4 linked regions of the Caenorhabditis elegans genome follow. The protein of the gene in region 1 interacts with the protein of each later gene in a biochemical or structural test. Each region holds a gene or a part of one and is shown on either strand. Other genes may lie near its edges. The genes, in order: frpr-8, flp-23, flp-16 and flp-7.

What was found.
Region 2: the proteins of frpr-8 (region 1) and flp-23 interact in a test that uses a peptide from one of them, tested with the Caenorhabditis elegans proteins (one large-scale study listed by BioGRID).
Region 3: the proteins of frpr-8 (region 1) and flp-16 interact in a test that uses a peptide from one of them, tested with the Caenorhabditis elegans proteins (one large-scale study listed by BioGRID).
Region 4: the proteins of frpr-8 (region 1) and flp-7 interact in a test that uses a peptide from one of them, tested with the Caenorhabditis elegans proteins (one large-scale study listed by BioGRID).

Annotation. Positions count from the first base shown.
Region 1 is NC_003284.9:8,695,607-8,704,147, reverse strand, and holds frpr-8 (G-protein coupled receptors family 1 profile domain-containing protein), read right to left. Parts: upstream 6,332-8,541; coding exon 6,108-6,331; intron 5,230-6,107; coding exon 5,127-5,229; intron 4,840-5,126; coding exon 4,618-4,839; intron 3,614-4,617; coding exon 3,372-3,613; intron 3,040-3,371; coding exon 2,896-3,039; intron 2,403-2,895; coding exon 2,280-2,402; intron 2,232-2,279; coding exon 2,147-2,231; intron 1,992-2,146; coding exon 1,956-1,991; intron 1,452-1,955; coding exon 1,326-1,451; downstream 1-1,325.
Region 2 is NC_003281.10:8,648,712-8,653,630, forward strand, and holds flp-23 (VVGQQDFLRF-amide), read left to right. Parts: upstream 1-2,055; 5' UTR 2,056-2,065; coding exon 2,066-2,191; intron 2,192-3,002; coding exon 3,003-3,203; intron 3,204-3,248; coding exon 3,249-3,374; 3' UTR 3,375-3,483; downstream 3,484-4,919. Other genes in the region: F22B7.3 (uncharacterized protein), read left to right, coding at 352-424, 474-643, 689-745; F22B7.9 (uncharacterized protein), read right to left, coding at 4,078-4,107, 4,158-4,293, 4,444-4,849. UniProt on the Caenorhabditis elegans protein: FMRFamides and FMRFamide-like peptides are neuropeptides.
Region 3 is NC_003280.10:13,232,772-13,238,633, reverse strand, and holds flp-16 (GQTFVRF-amide), read right to left. Parts: upstream 3,329-5,862; 5' UTR 3,300-3,328; coding exon 3,212-3,299; intron 1,746-3,211; coding exon 1,555-1,745; 3' UTR 1,217-1,554; downstream 1-1,216. Other genes in the region: romo-1 (Reactive oxygen species modulator 1), read left to right, coding at 728-790, 922-1,107. UniProt on the Caenorhabditis elegans protein: FMRFamides and FMRFamide-like peptides are neuropeptides. AQTFVRF-amide inhibits the activity of dissected pharyngeal myogenic muscle system.
Region 4 is NC_003284.9:5,883,710-5,888,351, forward strand, and holds flp-7 (TPMQRSSMVRF-amide 2), read left to right. Parts: upstream 1-2,155; 5' UTR 2,156-2,157; coding exon 2,158-2,252; intron 2,253-2,368; coding exon 2,369-2,407; intron 2,408-2,459; coding exon 2,460-2,750; intron 2,751-2,797; coding exon 2,798-2,906; 3' UTR 2,907-3,124; downstream 3,125-4,642. UniProt on the Caenorhabditis elegans protein: FMRFamide-like neuropeptides. Stimulates serotonin-induced fat loss by binding to and activating the npr-22 receptor which leads to induction of the atgl-1 lipase and subsequent fat loss.

The sequences.
Region 1 (8,541 bases):
AACAATTTGAAATGCTGTCAGCACGTGAATAATCATTTTATGACTTCAACTTTTAAGTTTCGGAATGATTTTCTCAAGCCCTACATGCATCAAATTTTATTAAAATGTGATGTTACCGAACATATTTAAGCTTTACTTTTTTCTTAACTTTTGCGTGAAATAATAAAAACATTGAGATAATTCTGCGTTGAACCAGCTGATATAATTTCCTTTTCCAGAGGGACAAACTGCTGCTGGCCACGTCCATCGGATTCAAAACACAGTAGCCGGCGGAACCCGCGAGGTGTCCGCATGTGCGCTATACACACTTCTGCTTTACGTCTATTTGAACTGATGTGCACCAGAACGGATATATAAAATATAAATGGGATATTGCTCGCCATTTTTGTGAGAATTTTTTTGCTTTGTCCTTCACGAAAGTAAAAGAATTTTTTTTTTCATCGTGAATTTGATTTTTCAAAAATCCTTTCGAAACTTGACCTACCAATTTTATTGAATATAATATTGACACAGTTTTCAAAGTACAATGGTTCCCTGCACATATCGAGCGGATACACATTTCAGAGTATTGACTGTAACTTGATAAACATTTAAGCTGTGCCTGCAAATTTTATGAGGCATCCCCACCCTGAATTTGATCGAACGATTTGTCCGAATGTATTCATATTCCTAGTAAAAATATTGGGACTGTTGAGTGAGGAAAATCAATGAAAATAATTGAACATATATTATTCCCGATTCCCAAAAGCTTAAAAGATAAACATAAGCATAATTTTGAATAAATAATACTTTTTTTTAAATATACGAGAAATTTACTTTATTGGACCATTGCTGTATTTCACAATGAAATCTTGAGCATTATCATCCAAAAACGTGAATTCAAAAATTGCGGAGAAAATATAAAACTATATAAGTCTGAAATAATCAAACTTGGACTCAATTAACAATTTTCCGAGCAATTTTTAGTGACACTTAAGTAAAACTAGCCAAGCTGAAATGAATTGGTCAAATGTTAGCAACCCAAGAAAATGAATACAAAAGAGATCGCAAGAATCGGGATGATTTTGGAGGGAGATGACCAGTACTACTTTTAGACTAGACAATTTGTAACTAGTAACTTTTGATTATGGCAGGCAGGTGAAAAATAAATATTAGAAACGAAACAAAAAAAAACAAAACAGAAATGAAGCGTTCAATTCATAATGATATTGCAGTTCTTATCAAATAATACATGGTATCGAAAAAATGCTCAAATTAACAAAATCCATGAAGATGTGCAGTAAAGATATATACAGAAACATGATAAAGGTTTGACGTGTTTTCCGTTATGAAGGTGCGCTTTGAAGCGAAAGTCTGTTTTGAGCACTTGTGTAGATTACTGTATCTTTTCGAGCAGGAGCTGCTTGATGTGGTGCACCACTTTGACTCCGTTTACTCCATCGGCGAGAACTCTGAAACACAAATTTTTGAAACTTTATGGAAACTTTATTTTACATACTGTATGTTTGAGTATTATAGTTAATTACTAAAGAAAAAATGGATGTTTCAAATATGAACGTCAAACTTTCGGTAAATTAACAAATTACCAAAACAGTAACGAAACAGCTATATTGTTTAAATATTATTGATGGAAAGATAATTAAACTGTGAAACTTGTTTAAAAAATTTTGTCCGCTTTCCACAGTTATCATATTAAAAAAATTTGCTTCAAATTTATAAACTACTCTATTTAAAACGCATTAACCCCAGTTTCCAATCAGAACAAATTATGTTAGAACCAATATTATCAAGAAATCAAAAAATAAATCAAATAAAAACTCTAAGAGGTTGGAGATTAAGTATATTGGGGAAAATGGGTAAGGTACATGCAAATCAGTCCGGGGAGAAAATGAAACTGCACACGAACTAAATGCGTTTCTAGACAATATTATTTCTATTTTCCACACAAAACTTACCACCGGGTAGGTTATGAAATTCGAAATCGTCATTCGCTGTAATGGTTCTTTTGAAAACAATTTACAAAGCAGTATACCAAAAAGCAAAAGCATAGTAAAGAAATATGAAATTGTTTTCAATTAATCGAGAATGTTCATTAAAGAAGAATAATTAATAATGAATGTACCGATTTACTTTTTTTAAAGCTTACCCTCGCACTTAACAGAGCAGTACTGGCGTCCAAACTAGTTTTCCTCGTCGTACCATCTCTACCATCCCAATCACTGACCATGCTCCTGAATGACAATTTTTAGAAAATTTGAACAATGCAGTGATAGAATTACTGAGGTGGGTACCTTCCAACTTTGAGCCACTCCATCCATCGACTTTGTCGCCCGCAAAGCATGAGGACACACATTTGACGAAATCGGGCTCCGAATAACGAGTAGATCACGATGTTGGAAGCGCTAAAGGTTATTTGTTCATACATACAATTCAAAAACCTTGCCACACTAGGGCTTAAGTTCATTTATTTTTCATTCAATAACTCTATTTGAAAAACGATTCAGCATCATGCACTTCCAATTTTATAACCTCTGTGATATAAAATTGGAAGGTGGTGTTTGGTATAAAATGTTTACTTGTTCATTTTCAAAAGTTTGCGTTGATGTTGAGGATTTTAAACTTTTAGATTGAATGATTTATTTCACCGAACTTGATTCAGACTTCTTTGAAAATTTTTTTGAAATTACTTAGGGTCATTTTCAGTGTTTCAAAGCATCTTAAAATCATGGCAATATTTGGAAAACATTTCGAAAAGACAGATTGAACCCAAAAAGTAACCCGGAAAAGTTTCTTTTTCCATACTAATGTGCTCTCTGCCACTTTCATGTAGAAACCGATTCTAAAGTTTTTCGAGCACACAGCTTCTAACACGTTATAATTACTAAAACTTCTTACCTGTTTAAACAAATTAGCAAATTTCCAATGGGACTCCAAAATCCTAAGCTCACTTCGAACACCGTCTCAGCCAAGTTGTTCACTGCTGCTACTACGTTGAAGATCAAGAAAGTGAGCACCATAGCGATGGCCATAAGAGTGCATCTGAGACTGTTTCTGAACTTGGGAGACAAACTGTTTTCTACTGTTTTTGAATTTTGTCGAATCGAAAAAAAAGAGGGAGAAAAGTTCTGAGCGATAGTTGTTTTCAGATAATAAAAAATAACAAAAACATGCAAAAATCAAAAAAGCTGGTTCGGTTCTTGTAATAAACGTTAGCAGTCCATGCTTGAAATAAGAAAAATAAATAATCATTAAAAAATGTAAATCGATGTATTTGAAAATTTTTAAGAAACTAGAGAACCGAACTTAACATCAAAAAACTGGTGAAACCAAAGTTTAAAAAATAATTAAAAATAAAAATGATAAAACCACACCTCCGATCTTTTTCTTCTTGATTATTTTTTCCTCCTTGCATAGACCTCCGAATCTTATACGCCTTGTGTACAGCCTTTACCACAAACACATTCAGTATAATCATTACTGTCCATGGAATCAATAACAGCGCGATGAGGTACCCAAATGTTACGTAGTACTCTTTGTAGTACTTATTATCCCGCAGAAATGAGGTTCTCAGTCGACCACAGTCATCGTTGGTCAACTCGAAGAACATTGGTGCCTGAAGATGACTTGTATCACGGATAGTCGCCTACTAAACTTATTACGATGTTCCTCAGTTTGCAAAGTAGTACATTAATTTAGAACATTTAGAATAACAATCCATATAGTCTTTTGAATCAGAAAATAACACAAAAAAAGAAACTACCAATGTTGTATTCACAACCTAAAAGTTTTGCGTGGTTCAAGTTGGCCGTAAAATTAAAACAAGATGAAAAAAGGTAGGGATTTTGTATAATTGTACCTAACTCATTTTTTTTAAATTAAATTTTGAGCTAAATATCAGTGCTGTGCGGCTTGCGCCGAGAGCCGACTTTTTTCAAGGGCCGCACAGCACTGCTAAATATTGAAAAATCTCTAAGTTATTCATTGAAACTAGGGGAACCTAAAAAGCGTATTGTAAGTTTTCTAGTGTTTTTGAGTGTACTTTTTTTCAATTTGTAAAATTACAATCTGATGGAAAATAATTTATAAAAAACAGCGATTTTCGAGTTAATATTAAATATTATAAATACTGGAATTTCAAGCTCATCTGCTTTTCCTCCACAGAATTTTTAATTTTGTGATAATGTAAATTACGAATTAATTTTTTTTCAACTTTCATGTTTTCCCCGGTGTCTTAGAAATCAAAGTCAGTAGCTCTTGTGTTTTGATATACACACGCAAATGTATATTTTAAAAATTCTAAAATAAAATTGAACATTTTCACACAGTGATCAACTTATTATCAATGAACAGTGTGCTGACATGTTTAATATTCTGAATGCTTGAATGATTTTAAAACTGGGGTCACAAACTCTAATAGCATTGATGTTTGTTTTCACAAGAAATTTTATTTTAAAAAACCTTTAAACTACAATTATCGTAGCAACAGACTTCCGTAATATGCAAATTTGATATATTATAAAAACATTACTTTAGACCATAATAGTCAGGATACGAAACTTTAAAACGTTGTGTGTATTTCGAAATACAAAATAAAAAATTGACAATTCTTGTACTTACTTTGAACAATATGCTAAAAACCGTAATCGCAATAAGTATTGTTGTTGCTCGGCGCGGTGTGCACCAAATTTTGCTATGAAGCGGATAGTTAACAGCAAGAAATCGATCCACCGTCACTGCAACACATGTCCAGACACTACCACATTGTGCGATATTTGATATGGGTAACGTCCAAGGAGTTGATCTCCAGAAGAAATGACAAACCGCGGTGTCCCCGTGACCCTGAATAGTTTATTTGAATTATTGCTAACATAGTTGTTTTTAGTGGTGTTCTGAAACATTCATATTTCTGGAAACATAAATTATACGCAGTTTCTAAGACATTAGAAAATTATTTCAGACCTTGATGAAACTCGAAGTTTTGAGAAATATTAAATCCCTCTTCAATATCATAAATAACTTTTTTCATTTCTCTTTCCGTGCTATGAGCTTATCGATGAATAAATTGATGGACATTTCTTCATCTCATTACAAATTCCACTGAATATCAACCAGTTATCTACGCTCACCTGCAAAACGCAACCTTGGAGAGGTGAAAAGATCAGAGCACTGAATGAAAGCAGGATAAGATCGAAAACCGATAATCCGGCAAGATATACGTTGAGTGATGATCTGAAGTTAAAAATATTTTGTATTTCTATGTATCCTTATTTGCTCTTTTTTCTTGAAATGAGTATTTGAACAGACTACCAAAGAAAATTAAAACTAAATAAATGGGGAACAATTTGATGTCATTAATTTTTCAAAAAGATTAATACAATCAAAAAAAATCATAAAAATGTCGTCAGTTGTACATGAATTAAAATGTTTATTAAGGGCCAAGAAAATTTGAAATCACTGTTTCAATTGAATTGTGCAGCAAGAACAAATTGAAAGATTTATTTGAATAGTTTTTGATCATTTTTTGAAATGAATAGCAGCCTAAAGCTATAGCTCGTTTTTGACTAATGTGAGGTAAATTTTTATAAATATATAGGCTAATAAATATTTATTTTTAGAACTAAATAGCGTATTTTTATCAGGGAAAAACATTTGGTGTTTCCCTAACTTTATTTTTGATTTACTTGTTGGACAAGACTCCTTCTTTATTCGACAAAAAAGGCAGAAACATAATTTGTGAAAAAAAAAACTGCTATCGTTTTTTTTTCATATAAAAATTATTATTTTCCTGTGAACCATTTGGGGTACAGATATACACGCATCACATATTCATTTTTTTAGAAATAATGATTAAACATATTACCTATCCACGTTACTGTGTTTGTTAGAAGATATAGACGCAGAAAAATGAAAAAGTTTCCCTCGTACACGTTTCCGTAAGCCACGTGACTTCGTCGTCCTTTCTCAAAACGTTCGAAGTCTTTTCGTTGCGGGGAACAGATTTTCTTTGCGTCTCTTATATTTTCTAACTTAAAAAGTGAAGTGGATAGGTAATTCGAATTCAGTCCTTTCTAGATATACTCTCACAAGTACTCTTCAATAAAACGAACCTCATTTGTTTCCTAGTGAACACCACAATGCACATTACCGCAGCGCCGGCTCCCAGCACGCAAATTGTTGGAATGGCAAGCAGGTAAATATATGTGCTAATGTAATCGACCTCCGCAAAATTAGTTGGATAGCTGCATGTTCCTTTTGTACTTCCAGAAAAACCTGGCTGATCCGTAGTGACCAGTGTAGAATTATTAAGAAGCGAAATAACTGTCGAGTTCATAGCCAGAGGCCGAAGTGGTGTGGCACACACTGGAACACGATAAAAATTGGTTTTAGAAAGAAAAAAGGCTCTAACTAAGAGATAATTGAGTTTTGGTTGAAACGAAACAAAAAAGCGAAGACGGAGCAACCAAAGTTCAAAAGTTGAAAAAAAGAAGCAGTGACGTAGGGGTCTATTCAAATTTAACGATTAACATACATCCTTGAAAATGGTATTAGGTGACTAAATTCTTCAATATAAAACTTGTAAAACAAAACGAATATATATGAAACTTCGGAGAAAGTAGGAAGTAAAATTTATGGTATACATACTAACACAAAAATGAACTTGTAATTAGTTTATTCGAGCGAATAATTAAATGAGAACTTTTTTTCAAAATCAGAGTTTTGGTTTGTTAAGAAAAAGAAAGTAAACTAAGATAAGAGTGAAAATTTAAAACAAAAACACATAGTTGACAATTTCAGTAAGATACGTTTTTGTTACTCGTACTTTCAAAAAGTCTAGGAGAAAATACACTTATTTTCGAAAATTTTGAACAAAACCATCCACTAATTTCTTAAGTTTTTCTTTCTTTTCAAAACAAAAAAACAGTTGGATCTTCAAGACTAACTAGTCTTACTTTATTGATGCCTTACAAAATGGCTTCAAAAAAGTGAGTTCTGGTAAATAGTAGGGCATCAATGAAAAGACGAAGCAGAATTGAAATATACTACTAGTCATTTTTATGATGTTCGACTATATATAGTATCAAGAATTTGTGAATAACTACTGAGAAAAAGGGGACTGCATGGTCAGTAATGAATATGTTAGCGGAGAAGTGGAAGCCAAAAAGTCGTGAACGGCTGGTATCATCACGTAGCTTTCACAAAAACAAAGGAGGTTCTTTGAATAAGCAATGATGATTGAAGAAATGTTATTTGATATTTGAAACCTGTTCCAATTACGGGGAATAATAATTTACGAAAACTCACTTTAAATATGATTTGTCAAAATACAAGATTAGTTAAAGAAGTATGGTTTTACTGAGATATTGTACCCAAACCAAAATCAAAGAGCGATAAAGACTTGTTTCTGTTTAGAAAAAGAGTTTGAAAATTGGATTCTTTGTATTTTTAACTTTTATATGTAAAATAATACAATGATAAAATTTTTTCAAACGATTTTGATCAACTTATTCATTCTAATTGTAGATATACTCACTCACCAAAATGAAAAAAAGTTTAAAAAAAAAGAAAATTAACATGATGTCATTGTAATTTCCGGATAAAATATATACTTTAAATTGAAGACTTTGAAGAAAAAATTCATATTTTTTGGCAAGCTCTAGTTGACCATTCACATATTTCATAATTCATAGCTCAAGGACATATTTTTACACTCGTTGTTCAAACGAGCATTTTCTTGGAAAAAACATTCGATGTATTTTTGGAAGATGTATTCACTCTAAGAAAAACAAAAATATCGAAGTTCTAAAAGTGAGCTCTTGATATTCTTGCGTATTCATTTTAGCGGAAAAGTGAGCTTGACTCAGATAGTCATTATGTGCAAAGTTGTGTACGGAAAAATAGTCTTAAAAACTATAACGATAATTATCGAATTAAATTGAAAATGAAGGAAATGGATATGAAAAATACATTCGTGAACTTATAGGAACTGCAAAAAAAGCAAGAGGTGGATTATTCATTTCATACTTATTTAAAACGAATAAATACTAAAAGTGGAAGTAGAAAAAAGTTCACATATCGAATGAATCATGAATGAGAGCAAACGTTGTCTCGGGAAGACTGAGAGCATTTTCAGCTACGAAACCCTCAAACATGGAGTCAGTATCTCACGCGAAAGATCGTCATCGAACCGCGTCGGTCATGGTTCACAAAATGAAAGGAATAACGTAAAGGATATGGGCAAAAATCTATGGACTATCTGAGAAATTAGGGAAATGAGCATAGATGACGGACAATCCGGTTTTTTTGTTGCGGTAAGTTGAAGTAAAATACAATACTATCAATCTGATAGTAAGCTTGATTAGTACTATCCAAACACAAGTTTTAAATTTGATGAACTGACAAGAATATCAGTAACTATTGGGTAGGACTTGGCTCGGAAAACTAGGAATTAGCATTAAAAAAACAAAAACAGGATCAGTTCTGAAAATAAATTTCATATATCCAGCTATTTTAATTCAAAACTAATGGGTCCTGTGAAATATC
Region 2 (4,919 bases), on another chromosome or scaffold:
GTTTATCAGAGTTAGTGACGAAATTTTACCTTTTAATGGTATGATGCCTCGTAAATTTAATCAAACCTCTGTAGAAAACTCGTGTCATGTCAAGCGATTCGAAATCGATTTCTGAATGTGAAACGGAAACCCGTGTCACTTTGATGTCCAAACGCAGGAATAATTCCTTTGAAATTCAGATTCGTACTCATGATCTGCAAAATGCACCAAAAGCAAGAAGATTCCTGAAAAGTTTTGATCAACCTGAAGTAGTTGATCTTACTAAGGATCCCACTACGTTCCAGGAGTTTACCAAATTCTATGTCCAACTTCTAATCGACGTAATCCAAAAAAAAGACACCAGAAGCCTTCATGGCACACAATAATTACCTGGATCTTGAAATGTTGTTCAATGAATGTAATGCTCAACATTACGAAAATTTAGGTTGGTTTCTGTAATAATATTTCAAAGTCTTTTTTAATAAAATTTTCAGGAATGTTCTTCAAATGGCTTCAACAATTTGCTGCTCATCACGAAGATCCAAAGATCACAATTAAAGATTTCAAGGGAGATAAAACATCAGGAGAAATGATTCTTCATGTTAATACCTTCACTTTATTCAAGTACAGACAAGAATTTGACATGAAAGTTAGCGCTTTGAATGTGGGTTATTGAATCAATATTTTGAAGACAAAACTAATTTTTCAGGACAATGGACTTGGGTGGAAGATTTTGTTTGTTGACCGCAGTCTTGGGTGTAATTGATTCATTTTTTGAAACCGAATAAACTAATTTGTTAAATTATTAAATTAGGCAATGGGACAGTCTGGAAGTTGCTAGAATCTACCGATATTTATTAGATATTTATTACTTACTTGCTACTATGTTTCACAAAACAATATCAGAGAAAAAAAATCAAAACTGAGAAAAAACGAAACAACTTACCGAACAATAGTTAGCATTGCTTTGTACAAAAAAAACTGTGAGGCTATTGGAGCACTCCTCTGATTGATCCGGTCGTGAGTATTGATTTTGTTTGTCAATTTGTCTAGGACGCAATTGATTCATCGTTTGAAAAAAAAGCTCGTTCATTCAAAATCATTGATTATTTATTCCATGCAGAAAACTGTTTTATAATTCTCGATAAAAATGTTATATTTTAAACTGTAAATATTTATTTTTCCACATGATATGGTCTAACCGTGGGCGTAATATTTTCGGTTTAGAACGGCTGAATCGAATCTTTTGGACTGCAAAGACGGATTGGATTTTGAAACAAACTACGGTGTTTTTGTGACAGTATTAGTCAACGAATGGTAATTAGGCATATGTTTTTGGAACAACTCATAATTTCTTGTTGGAAAACAAAAGTGGCAAAGTATAATTATTTAAAACTCTGACAAATCTTTTGTCTTTTTTCTCTGGTACTCCTGTTTTTAACAGTGTCCTTATTATGCTCCTATTACTCTTGTGTTGTGCACGTTCTTTTGAAATCTATATTGCAGAGCGGGAATGAATTTAAATAAGAATAATTCAACTTGGTCATTCAAACAATAAAACGCCTACCATTAATATATCCAAAATAAGTTCTTTATTTTTGCAAGGTATTCAAATATATCAATAACTCGAGCCTGAAGAAATCCACCGCTAGAACATAAAATTAACGATAAATATTAAGGCAAAATGTTTGGGCCGAACCGGGAATCGAACCCGGGACCTCTCGCACCCGAAGCGAGAATCATACCTCTAGACCATCCGGCCACTGCCCGGCTGGAGAAAAATGGGGGACTTTGAGCGTTACAACATTCTCGAGGCCCTCTCGAGTCGAGGGGGACCGAGACGGAGAGTGCTAGGAAAACCAAGCATATTTGGTTTTTGAGTATATAGTCGTACGATTGAGAGGAAGCAAAGATAGATTTATAGCTTTTAATTTATTTTTTCTAGGATTTTACGTAACATTAATTTCAATACTGATTTCGAGATTTGTCTTTTGATAGATTTACAACATGGTTATCATCCGGTATACTATTGTATAAAAGATGGTCCTAAATTCTATGAGATTATTTTATATTCTCTCTCAACGAGATGCTTCTTCCAAAAATTTCAATTCTTCTATATATTCTCGTCGTTCTTCAAGAAACAGCGGCTGTCCGCGGTGCTCTTTTTCGCTCCGGAAGAGCTGTTCCGTTTGAGCGTGTCGTTGGACAACAGGTGAATTTTTTATTTCATTTTGAGTGAGCCATTGTAACATTGGATCATAAGAGTCACGTGGAAAGTAGAACAATCTCAACCCACAAGTTAAAGCCTAATATTATTCCAATGCCTCTAGTAAGATTTTTATAAAAATAGAAACCTCGCCATATTAGCCAGACACGAGATTTTTACGATTTCTTCGTCAAATATACGGTACCCAATCTCGACACGTCAATTTTTCAATAAATGCAAAAAGATGTGCGCCTTCAATGAGTACTGTAACTTCAAACTTTTGTTGCTGCCGAATCGACTTAGTTTTGTGAAAATATATGTATTCATGTTTTAAACAACTCAGAATTAACCCAAAAATTTTAACAAAAACTTTTTTTTAAGCTATGAAAAATCAATTTGAATTCGGCAGCAACAAATGTTTTAAATTACAGTATTTTTTAAAAGCTTACGCCATTTTGCATTCATTGAACATTTGTCGTGTCGAGGCCGGGTATATTTTTGACAGAAAAAAAACAAAATTTCAGGTTCGTTGTTTTTTGTTGTCAAAATTATAATGTGTTTTAATATCATATCAAAAAATTAGTCATTTGATTTTCGATAGATCAAGCTTCAGTAGAGGTTTCTAATCATTCGGAAATATACACAAAATCTTGAATTTACACTTCCGATCAGTTGGAGAATATCATTGATCTATCAATAATGTTAGATTTTGTAGTTGATATTTTCACAAAACTCTCAAAACTTTTTAACATAAAAAGTTGGCATGGTGCGTCTTATAATTTTTGAATAACTTATTAAATTTCTAAAATTAATATAGAGATTGGCTCCCACATGTCGAGAAGTTGAATTATTTGTTCCTTGTCTATTCACTTCTAACCGTGATTGTGTTATCGACAAAATATGTGTTCATGAGAAACCACTTCCCCTTTCATCGATTTCTGTGTCAAGCCCGAGTCCAAATACAAAACGGGAAGGTCATCCCGAGTTCATGAGCCAAATTGCGCCGCCTAGAAGAAATGTGAGAGTTGAGCACAGCATTCAACAATTTCTAATCAGCTTTCAGGACTTTTTGCGATTCGGAAGAGCCGGAATGGCTTCTGGAGTTGGTGGAGGATCGGAAGGAGGACCTGATGATGTGAAGAATTCGTATATTCGGGTCAATGGGGAGCCAGAGATTGTTTATCAATAAAATAATATGGATTCGATGCGTCCGATTATTTTTTTTTACTTGATATTACATTCTCGAAACTATTGTAATGTGTGGGGAATCGTTATAAATAAAATATCTTCTTGTTAAACAATTATTCCATGAAATATGAAGTTATAAAGATATAATCCAGATACGAAACTTTGAGATTTTCGTCCGAAAAGTACGGTAGTGGGTCTCGACACGACAAATGTTAGTTGTGCGCCTTTGAAGATTACTATCATTTAATTTTTTGATTAAATCGTTTTATTCTAAATGCTTAGTATTTACACAAATATATTTCAATCGGAATTTTCAAAGTATTTTCCTAGAGGAAACTACTTTGAAAATTCAAAAATTCAGCAACAACGAGAGTTTGTAATTACGGTAATCTTCAAAGGCGCACACCTACTCGTATTTAACAAAAATTTGTCGTGTCAAGACCGGGTTCCGCTCTTTTTTGCAGTAGTACAGAGAATATTCCGAAAGAAGTTTGAAATTAAATTAATTTATTATACCGACAAATCATCAAATGTGATGTATTTCAATGAGTACAATTTTTCGAAAGAAAAACAGATTGAGGATAAAACTTGAGTGATGAGATAACCGTAATATGGAGAATTATATCAGTGTCAAGAAGGCACATTGTTCAGTTTCATATTTACAGATGTTTGGGATTAAATGAAGATTCGGTATGCATCGACGATCAGAACAATGAACGAGTGAGTTGAAAGACCTGGAATGTTTAAAATTAATTTTTAAATTAAAATTCAATTTTCTGCCAACCTTTTGTTGAATGATATCAGTTCTTGGAGAAGACCATCTTTCAATTGCTTCAAATTCACGACGTCTTTTCACCAGTTGTAAGAAGGCGGTCAACGACCCGTCAACGTTTGCGTAGTGTGTGCGGCAGGAGAAGAGACTGCAAAACAGAGATATTTCATGAAGACTCAAATGAACAGCGGAAAATGTGCCTCGATAGCTCAGTTGGGAGAGCGTACGACTGAAGATCGTAAGGTCACCAGTTCGATCCTGGTTCGGGGCAATTCTTTTTCGATTTTTTGAAACTTACCAAATTCCATCATACGAGAGTCCTTGGTGCAGAATTTCGTGAACCAAATCAAATTCTGCTTCTTGCCGGTTTAGAAGATCTGGTGCCAAAATGATGTCGAATTTTTTTCCGCCAAGGAACTTCATTGCCTCTTCAATTGTACCACATGAAACCTTGGTCTTGATCATTGGAATATTATTTCTCTTAAGTGTTGGACGACAGTAAAGCTCCAAACTAGTCTTATCCATTGTGTGCATTGCAATTTCTTCTGCTCCATTTTCGAAAGCATATACTGATGGGAGTCCAGTTACGAATCCGATTTCCAAAACAGATTTTCCATCGAAAAAGTCAGTTTCCATCTCAACATTGACAATATTATCAATAGTGTGGCAAATTGTGTTGACACCTTCCCAGTCATCATGATGATCTGAAAATAAGACATTTTCAAAATTAAATCAAAAATTAAAAAAGCAATGCCCCGAACCAGGATCGAACTG
Region 3 (5,862 bases), on another chromosome or scaffold:
CTGAAAATAACATGTATTTCTGATGAAAAACGTATAAAAGCTCTCAAATAGTGCCTGGAAGTAGAAGTTTGCCGAAAAAGTGCCGTTAAAAAAATGTTTTTTCGGCAAACTGCAATTTTCAGGCACTATTTTTTTTGTAATTTTAAATGTGAAATATTTAAATGTATCAATAACACGTAAAACATCGACAAATTTCTAGAAACTCTTAAAAATCGATATTTACAGTACTCCCGGGTACTGTAGCTGAAAAGTTTTGCTCCTGTGCGTATAAGAGGTTATTAATTGGCTTGAAAAAAACGATTTCTTTCACAAAGTGGAAAATAACTCTCATTTCAACGGATAGAGAGCTCTCCAGAGCAATTTTTTCTGGAATCAATTTCAAATATGAAATAACCAAGAATTCGCTGAACAATTTGAATTTTAACTGTTTTAAATCGCTGCCGATAATCCAATATTAACTTATTATTCCATTTTTCTCTAATTTATTTGAGATTTTATGATTCGTAGCTCTGAATTCGAATTAATTCTTAAGAATTCTTCAACTTTCCAACAATAAAATTTACAAATCAAATTACGCGCCAACAGAAATTGCTGGCGCGTTTTCAGTGCCTTTGCGCGGTTTCCGTGTTATTTATTTTATTTTTACATCATTTTTTGGTTGTTTTCTTCTCTATTTGTTGTTCTGCTCAATAATTAATCAAATTTAATTTCTTATTTAAATTCCAGAATGCCAGTTCCTTCAGGATATGCAGCACACCCACAAGGAAGCCAACCGTCGTGTTTTACAAAGGTCTGGTTTTTTTAAAAATATTTTTCAGATTTGAAATTATAAATCATACTGACATTTGCAGAAAGAAAATAAATTTATTAGAAATGTCAGATAAAATTTGCAGAAATCTAATTTATTTTCAAAATTTCCAGATTCGAATGGGATTAATGATGGGAGCAATGATTGGCGGAGCAACAGGCATTCTTCTCGGCGGATTCATGGGCTTCAGAGCTGGCATGCGAGGCAAGGATCTTCTCCTACAAACCGGCAAAACTGTGGCACAATCCGGCGGATCATTCGGCGTCTTCATGGGTGTTGCCCAGGGTCTTCGCTGTTAATCTTTACTTTTTTTGCTTGTTCCCCTCCAACCTGTTTTCTGTTTTTTCCCCCGTTTAAGTTTCCACAGGCGCTAGGTCTTTCATAGAAAAAACTCAATAAAAAAATAAAATTAATCAATTCGTTCATGGAGTTCAGAATCAAATCATCAATCAGAAACAAGCTAAAATTGAAAACAACGGTCTCGAAATTTATTGAGGGTACACTGGTACACACAGGGAGAAGAGAAGAATGAAAAAACGTACATATTCAACATATCTCATCGGTGTCGATTTAAGAGTGAAAAAAAAAACGGGACATAAGACAAAATACTGGAATTTTTGGGCTGAGAAAGTGTTATGAAAATTAACACGTTTAGGGGGCTCAAGGGATTATTAGGAAATACTAGGAATTTTAGGCCATCTGATGAAGTCGACCCGCCACTCTCTCGGACACAAAAACGAGCACATTTATTGCTCGAACGGAGCACTTCGTCCGAATCGTACAAAGGTTTGACCTCTCTTGCCGAATCTTACGAATGTCTGCGCTCTCTTTCCAAATCTAACAAATGTCTGTGCTCTCTTGGATGGTCGTTGTTCGGCAAACAGGGATCCGGAATCAGGAAGTGCTGACATTTCATCGGCTACTCCATAGGCATAATCTGAAAATGTATATATTTAAGTAAGACGTCATCATTTTCGCCGTCATCTTCATGAAAGTGGTGGTGGGGTTTTGATGGATGATGCCTATAGGTCCGAGGTGAGATGAAGTGGTTATTTTGATGCGCCGGCGGCGAAGTTTTAATTAAAAATTGTATGTGTATGCGCCGCGTCGATGACTTTTTCCTTCCATTTTTGACTTTTAGCTCAGAATATTTAATGCAAAAAACCTTTTTTTTTCCAGATATCTTTTTTAAAAATTTAGCAGGCACGGGATTCTGGCCTTTCTCATTGAATTTTTCGCGCTCCATTGACAATTGCCCGCGTGGGAAAGTCGTGTACTCCACACGGACAAATGCATTTCGTTTTACAACTGAAATCGAGAAAAAAGAGCCGCGACGCGATACGCAACGCGCCGTAAATCTACCCCAAATATGACCGAGCTAAAATTGCCTAGTTCGGCAAATTCTTCCATCTCAATTTATGAGGGAAGCCAGAAATCCGTGAGCAGGATCCCCGATTGAGCAGACACATTATATTTTATTGGAATTTTTTTGTTGCAAATCTGCTTGCACTCCGCATAAAAACATGTGTAAGTGACGTGCAAAAAATGGAAAATATTTATTTTCGAATAAAATACTTTCGGATCCACACTCATTCATCAAATTTAGGGAGGTTTCTGTTGCCATGGTTTACGTTTTTTTTGTGCAGCTGCTTCTTTTTCAGGACTTTTCTAGATGTAAATGTGTTTTTAAAATTTATAAAAATTAATCTTTAAAGTTTCTAAAATTAATTTTACTGTTGGAAGTACAAAAAATTACAAAAAATATCGATTTTTACGCTAACAGGCTTCGAAAAAAGGGTGTGCGCCTTTGAAGATTACTGTAATTAAAAATTTGTGTAGTTGCGGAGTTGTCATCGATTTTTCTTTTCTTTTTTTTCTTCGTGTTTTTACTGTTTCAAATAGGTTTTTTTTAATGAATAAATATATATTTAAAGAAAAACAACTTACTAATAAAAAATCAATGAAAAAATTATTAGAAATCCTATTTATTTTAAATAAGAGTGGCCGAAATTTTTTCGTATATCCAAAAAACACAAAGTTCAAAAACCCAGACACTGGATCGCCCTGAATTCGGGAAAATCCCCAGACGTCCGCTTTACAAGCCTAATTTTGTTTTTTTACAAAAATTTCTCGGAATTTATTAATTTTTTCAAACTTAAAAAAAAAAATATTTTACAGATATTTTTTATGAAATTCTTTCTTTTTTTCTTTTTTGTCCTTTTTTATTTGAAAATCTAAATCTAACGAAAAACAAATTCATTCCGAGACCGGGGGCTTAATGGATTAGTATATAAAGTATATGTTTTGCAAGATTTGGCGGATTTCTCTTATAGTTTTGAAGCTTTTGTGCCTACCTAATGCCTGCCTAGACACAAGGCAGGTGTACGTAGCCAACTAACTCACCTGCGGGAAGTACTGCGGCTGTTGACAACTGAAGGATCAGGAGGAAGAAGGCAACAATCGAGGAAAATTCGAAACCGGAGAAATTCATTTTTTCAACTGGAGTTGTATGTGTATTACCTGGAAGATTAAAGGGTGCTGGGAGGAAAATGGGAAAGAAATTGAAAAAGTATATAACGTGAAAAGAAAAAGAAATTCATAAATATTCAATTCTCTAAGAGCTGTCACTCAAATTTGAAATGCATTTTAAAAAAGTAAAACTTTCAAAAGTGTTCAAAAAGGTAGAATAAAATTTGAAAAAAATCTCACGGGAGTGCTTAACCACCCTTCAAATGGTGCTTCAGAGCCCAAACACAGAGAGACGGGGGAGGGCGGAGTCTAACAGAGGGGGCACACACACTGCCTAGATGACGTTGGCGGGGTGGTGAGGACGACGGCGTGGGGAGGGAATCTGGGCGGAGCTTCAGGTTTCTAAACTTGTATGACGTGGCAAATGGATCGTTTTTAGAGTTCAGGGTTGGAAAATAATTTTCTCAAAGCCGGGTCGTCCAATATTTTTGTGATGCATATTAAAAATGTCCCAAAATAAATTCAAAAATTTTTTGAACCAAAGCTGTTTTCCTTAGCGCTCAAACCTGATTACACTCAAATTATCAGTAGAGCGCATTTGCATGGATGCAGGTGGTGTCAGAGTGTCCCATTTCGGTTTGATCTACGTAAATCTACAAAAAACGCGGGAGAAGAGTCGCAGAGTTCTCAACTGATGGTTAAGAACGGGCTGACGTCATATTTTTTTGGCCAAAAATTGGCGCATTTTTTGCAGATCAAAATGGAACAGCCTGGCACCACGATCAAGTTCAGATTTTTAAAATCTGAAGTCCTTAACTCAAAGTAGAGTTTTAAACCTGCGCGTCAATTATGGTGCATTATAGTGGTACGGTATACAGAGCCAATACGCCATATTTGACGCGCAAATTTGCAAATAGTTATAGTTGATTTTTGGCTAGGTTTGATCTACGTAGATCTACAAAAAATGCGGGAAAGGAGACGTAGAGCTCTCAACTGACGTCACATTTTTGTGCGAAAAATTCCCGTAATTTTTGTAAATCAAACCGTAATGGGACAGCCTGCCACCACGTGTTTTGGTGCAATTTTGAATTTTCCGGAAGTTTTTTTTCTTGTGACAAAAAACAACAATTTTCTTCCTGGATACAATATTGAATTTTAAAAATTGAATTTGAGTCAGAAAATCAAGATGACCTAAATAAATGCCATATTATATCTGGCATTTATAATCTTTGAGATTTTAGATTTTCAGGAGCTGAAATCGAAAAATTTTGCAGGTGGGATTGGGAAATTCAGCCAAATTTAGTGAAAGCCCGCTAATGACCCAGAATATATATTCAGAACAATATTTGAATATTTTATTTGGGAGATTAGATTAACACCGGCTATAATCTGCAATCCACCCACAATTGAAACAATAAAAAAACGTCACTTTTATAGTATAGTCTTCACTTTTCCAGAGAAATATATCCTATTATTATTATCTTGGAAATTCATGTTTCTAGCGTATTAGCGTATTACGTGCACTTTTCAATAATTAATTATGAAGGGAGAAGCCCCTCAAGCCCTCCCCGTGTGAGATCAAGTGTGAATTTAAAACGGGAAACGGTTCGATGAATGTTCCATTTTCAAAATTTTTTTGAAAACTGGGGGAATACTTGCTTAAGGATGATAAAGCGGACCCTGGAGACCTTTAGATTTTTGAAATTTTGAAAAATGGAGCGAAAATGATTTTCTGTTAAGTTGTTCTAGTAGTTTTTGGCAAAGAAAAAAAACCTAGCGGTCACGGTGAAAAAAGCTGGAAAATGTATTTCGTGCCGAGACCCAATTTTGAGACAAAATTTTCAATTTTGCCCTAAAAATAACATGGTGGTTAGCAGTGAGGTAATAACAATAAATCCGTAATTTGTCCTTCTTAGTTTGCGCGGAATATTTGGGACATGGGTTTGCTGTTCGGCAAATCGGCAAATAGAAATTTGCAATTCCGACAATTTGTCGGTTTATTGTTTGCCAGATGTCAATTTGCCGGAAATGTTTAGAGGGGTTTTTATAAGACGAATACACTTAAAACTGTGCCTTTTTGAATTTTTTCCCGTTCTCTTTAGATATTTTCATAGAATTTGATTACTTTTCAAAATAGATGTAGGAACATTCATAGGATGCGTACAATTTTACCGGAAGTTTCAATTCCGGTAATTTGAGCTCAAATTTTTCGAGGAAATTCTCCGAAAATAGTAGTCTAAGTCGAAAAAAACAGCTTTCACATTAGAAAAAAAACATTCAAAATAGCAAGCTTAAAGTTTAGGTTAAGCGAGAGAAGAGGTGGGTGGCGTTTTTCTGTCAAACTTTATCAAGTGAAGCGACAAAGAGACGGGAGAAGTAGGGGGCATGTTTAATATAAATGAGGATGTGAATGAAATGGCATTGAATGAATTAGTAGAGCAAGCATTACATGCTTTCAAATGATTCTTATACTTTGTGGTTTGAAACTTCCTAACAAGGGCTTCAGAAAGTCTAGTGAGCTCAAAAATTATTGAGGTGTCTGAGGTCAGGTGCACCTTTCTTGCTCTATTTATGCTTACACAAAG
Region 4 (4,642 bases), 2.8 Mb from region 1:
CGTCGATTAATGTTAAACAAATTTAATCATACATGTTTCTAGCGAAAAAAAAACCTTGAATACGGTCAAAGAACAGCGAATTCTGATAAGGCATATTTTCTATGTTTATTTATTAGTGTTGCTTGAATAAATTCATGATCATTTATAGTGATGCGAGAGCTGAAAGTTTCTTGGAGCGAAACAAAAAGCAAAATTGGAGCCTATATAACCATGTGATCAAAGTGTCAAAATGATTTAACAATTGTAGTTTCATAAACTAGAAATTACGTGTGGAAACTGACAAAAACTTTCAACTTTTCAACTTTTCCGCCTTCAATTTTTCTAGAATTCTTAATTTCATTGCAGCAGCGACTTAATTTCCGTTTTGACGTAGACTTAAGATTATATCGGTAACATTAGTTGTAAGTTTTCTTCGTCATTTTACAAAGACTTACAACTCGCCGTATAAATTTTCAATTTTTTCGGAATTGTTGGCCCACGTGTTTTCATTTATTGTGAACAAAGTTAATAGCTTGGTTGTGTCTGGAAAAGTTACTTAAAGTAGTTCAAAAACTTAGAGTTCTATGAAATAGCAGCTTCTCTTCTGGCATCTCTCACATCTTTTGCTCGAGTTACGATAATTGAGGAAACGTTTGAAATTAAATGCACAGGTGATTCTATAAAATACTTATGGAATGTTTTTGAAAGGGTTTTGCAAAAATACTCAAACGCATCTACAATAAGTGTACATACGTAATATGACATATCACCCAGATTCACAAAACCACATGTTTTATAGATATGGTACTTGGTTTCAACAATTTTTAACATACTTTGAAAAAGAGCAAAAAGTATGTTTTACATTATTTATTGAAAACTCGTGTCAAGACCTGTTATTGTACTTAAGTTTTTTATCTGAAACTATTTTAAACTCTACATTTCACAATCAATGATCAAAAGAAAAACTGACCGAAATTTCTTTTTTTTTATTTTAAACTAGTTTTTGAACAAAATTGAACTTAAAAAACTTCAGTATCCACAATTGAAAAAAAACGTCATTTTTTGATTTTCTTAATCTTGAAGCTGTATTGTAATGTACTTAAAATTATTTTTGTTATGCGACTCTTATAATATTTTACATAAAAAGGACTAGATAAATATGTGTTTGTGCATCACAACCCCCGTTTAAAAATAAATTGAACTTTCATTCATTTATTCATTTCAATTAAACATAATATATTTTATAATTTTTTTTCAGGCTCCAAAATGACTTTTTTATAGGTTGAAGAGCCTGATAATAGTTTTAATAATACCTAAATTTATAAATTGAAATTTCAACGTACATCAGTACGGATAACTTTGTGTCTAAGTAATACATACAAAATTTTTGGAAACTTATTTGTTGAATTAATTTTTATTTTTGCCTTCTTCTAACACTTCCTCCTAAATTCTCAACTGACCGCTCAAAAGGTTTCAAACATCTTTCTCTTTGCTCTTCTGGAGAGTGCTTGCTAGTATCCTAAAATACCCGACACAATCAAACAGAGATGGACCGCGTGAATAATGAAGTGTCCCAAGATCCGTATAATTCACTTTGATTGCTCTGTGAACTTGGATTTTTTTAATCGGGCTAATGCGTCTTTAGCAAAAATAGCCAACCATCTCAATGGATTCCAACCTAATTTTGATTTTTTTTTTTTTTGGTGTTATTTTTTCTCCTTGTTCCGATTTCCAGTTTTTGTTTGGACGAAGGCGGAGTCATAGCATCAGACAAGGTTAGAAGGCATGAGAAGAAGGGGGTGGAGCATGAGCCTTTCTCGAGCTCAGGAATATGAAAGCGTATATAAGTATGGATAGCAGCTTCTATTGCGTTTCTGATTGTGATTATTTTGCCCCGTCATCAGTTTTCTTTTCAGTAAATTGTCAAATACAAATTTTTTGATTACTGTTGCTTGGTCTTGTGCAATCCACTCAATCTTGAATCCAATTTGCAGTTCAAGTTACAAATTGAATTTCCCTCTGCCAACACTCAAAGAAGGGTTCTTTTTTTTGACTTTTCAACTTTTCTCCTCATTTTTTCTCGATTGAAATTTCAATTTTTAAACCACTCCGCGTCATGTTTGGAAACATGACGTCATCGAAAAATACCATCTCGTTTTCATTCAAAGACTTTTAGAAATGCTTGGATCCCGCTTCCTTCTTCTTGCTCTTGGTCTCCTAGTTTTGGTATTGGCCGAGGAATCAGCCGAACAACAAGTTCAAGAACCAACTGAGTGAGTTGAGATTTATTGATATTATGTTGTTCTTGTTGTCGTGATTTGTTGAGTGAATAAATTTATTTTATTATTCTGAATGAACTCCTATTTTTTCTATTTTTTATATTTTTCAGACTCGAGAAGTCAGGAGAGCAACTCTCAGAGGAGGACTTGTGAGTTGTTATTATTCAGAAAAAACTTTATTCTCACACTATGCACTTTTAGAATTGACGAGCAAAAGCGTACTCCAATGCAACGCTCATCAATGGTTCGGTTCGGACGGTCACCAATGCAACGCTCATCCATGGTTAGATTCGGAAAGCGTTCGCCAATGCAAAGGTCCTCAATGGTTCGCTTTGGAAAACGGTCGCCAATGCAACGATCTTCAATGGTGCGTTTTGGAAAACGTTCACCGATGGAGCGTTCGGCTATGGTTCGCTTTGGAAGATCACCTATGGACCGATCGAAAATGGTCCGATTTGGTAGATCATCAATTGATCGCGCTTCTATGGTTCGGTACGTATTGACGTGAAAAGTATTTTGTGAATAAAGCTGAAGTTCAGACTCGGAAAACGGACACCAATGCAGAGATCATCGATGGTCCGTTTTGGCAAACGTTCGATGGAATTTGAGATGCAATCAAACGAGAAGAACATCGAGGACAGCGAATAAACAAGTACATGCAAACACCTTGATTACCAAGAACAAAACGGTCTCACATTGTAGTTTAATCTCGTTCTACGGCCTATTCTTACCTTTTTCATTTATGTATTTTTTTTTGACAATTATTTTTGTGCCACTTGACTAATAGTACAGATTGGTCGCTACCCAAATACTCCAGTGTATCAAAATTAATTTGCGATTTGCAAAATAAAGAACCGACGCCTGTTTTCCAGTCCTTCATCTTAAATTCATGCAATGCAAAGGATGAGAGGATTTCAAAAAAATAAAACTATAAAAAACAGGAAAATTGTTCAGAATGGCTAATACGGTGAGTCTGGTAAGTTGATTAAAAACAATGTACATTTTTTGCTTTTTGGACTAGTTTCGCGCCATAAAGCATTGTGTCCCGAGCCTGGTTTCATGTCCACTCATTCGCTGCAGTATTCAAATATGATCAAACCTGCCCAGCTACAGAAAAGCCTGATCTCGCGCCTTTCCCTATAACGTTAAAAGTTGTTAACTTTATTTCAAAGTGCATCGACTCTCCTAGGAGAGCGTCGTATGAGTTAAGTTGAACTTTTCAGAAAATAATCCAAAATGATTATTAACATTGTAAAGGCTTCTCAATCCCTACGGCAATAAATCATACAGAGCTTTTTGGTCATGGTCACCCGCTCGTTTTCCTGAAAATCAGAAATATACGTATTTGGATAATAGAGGTTTATTGAGAAAGCCTAAATCTAATAAATTTCAAACCGACAATGGTAAATTTTTCGATATAATTTTCTGGAATGGGTTAATTTTTTTTGCAGTTGTTTATATTATGTCAGATAACTTTTTATTAGTAATAGTCAGAACAGACGGGAAGTTGTAATAATATCAAAATGATCGGAAACCTCAAACGGAACAAAACTAGAAGGAGTATTATCTAAAGTTATATTGGGATAGAGGATGCCTCAGATTAAAAAAAAAATTTTGGCAAATAATCAGATATTGGAAATTTTGAGAAATTTTGAACAATTCTCCTTGTTTTAGCCATACAATTTTTCACATAAATTTTTTTTTGCTGTTTATTTTATTTTGCTGTTTATTTTAACCACACAAACTATGTTCAACAGATTATCATCCAGTACGAGCTGAGGGGGAATGAAAAAAATAAGTTTTATGGTTCTATAAAGACCAAGCACCATAATAAAACTTTAAAAAAATATTTGGAAATGTTGAATTGTGAATCAAAAAGCGGTGCATATAGTTTATAAAAATTTAATGATTTTCTTCTTTTTAATTATTCGTTTTCAAAAAATTTGTAAAGACTGAATTTTCTTCTTAAGTTTTCACCGAAAAAAATTTTACTAATTTTTTGCAAAAATGTATCATGTTCTTTGTTTGATTTAACACCATAGAAGTGGTTTTCAACAAATCATAGTCCACATTTAATTAAAATTGCACCAACACACAATTTTCAAGCTTTCTTCAATGTTTCCAAAGTTGAAAAAACACTTGTAGGTTTTTGAAACCATTAAAAAGCTTTATTATATGGTAATACCCAAGTAGTTCCGCATCCGCAAACAATTCTACATGCCCATTTTTTTGAGCTCAAATAAACGAGGTTGTGGGATTTTTAATCAAGTTCTACTATTCTACCGCCAACTCCTAGAAATAAATATTTGATTGAAATATTTCATTTTCAAATTATGAATTCCCAGAAGTTGCGAGGAAAACAATTTCCCAAGTTTCGAGCTTCT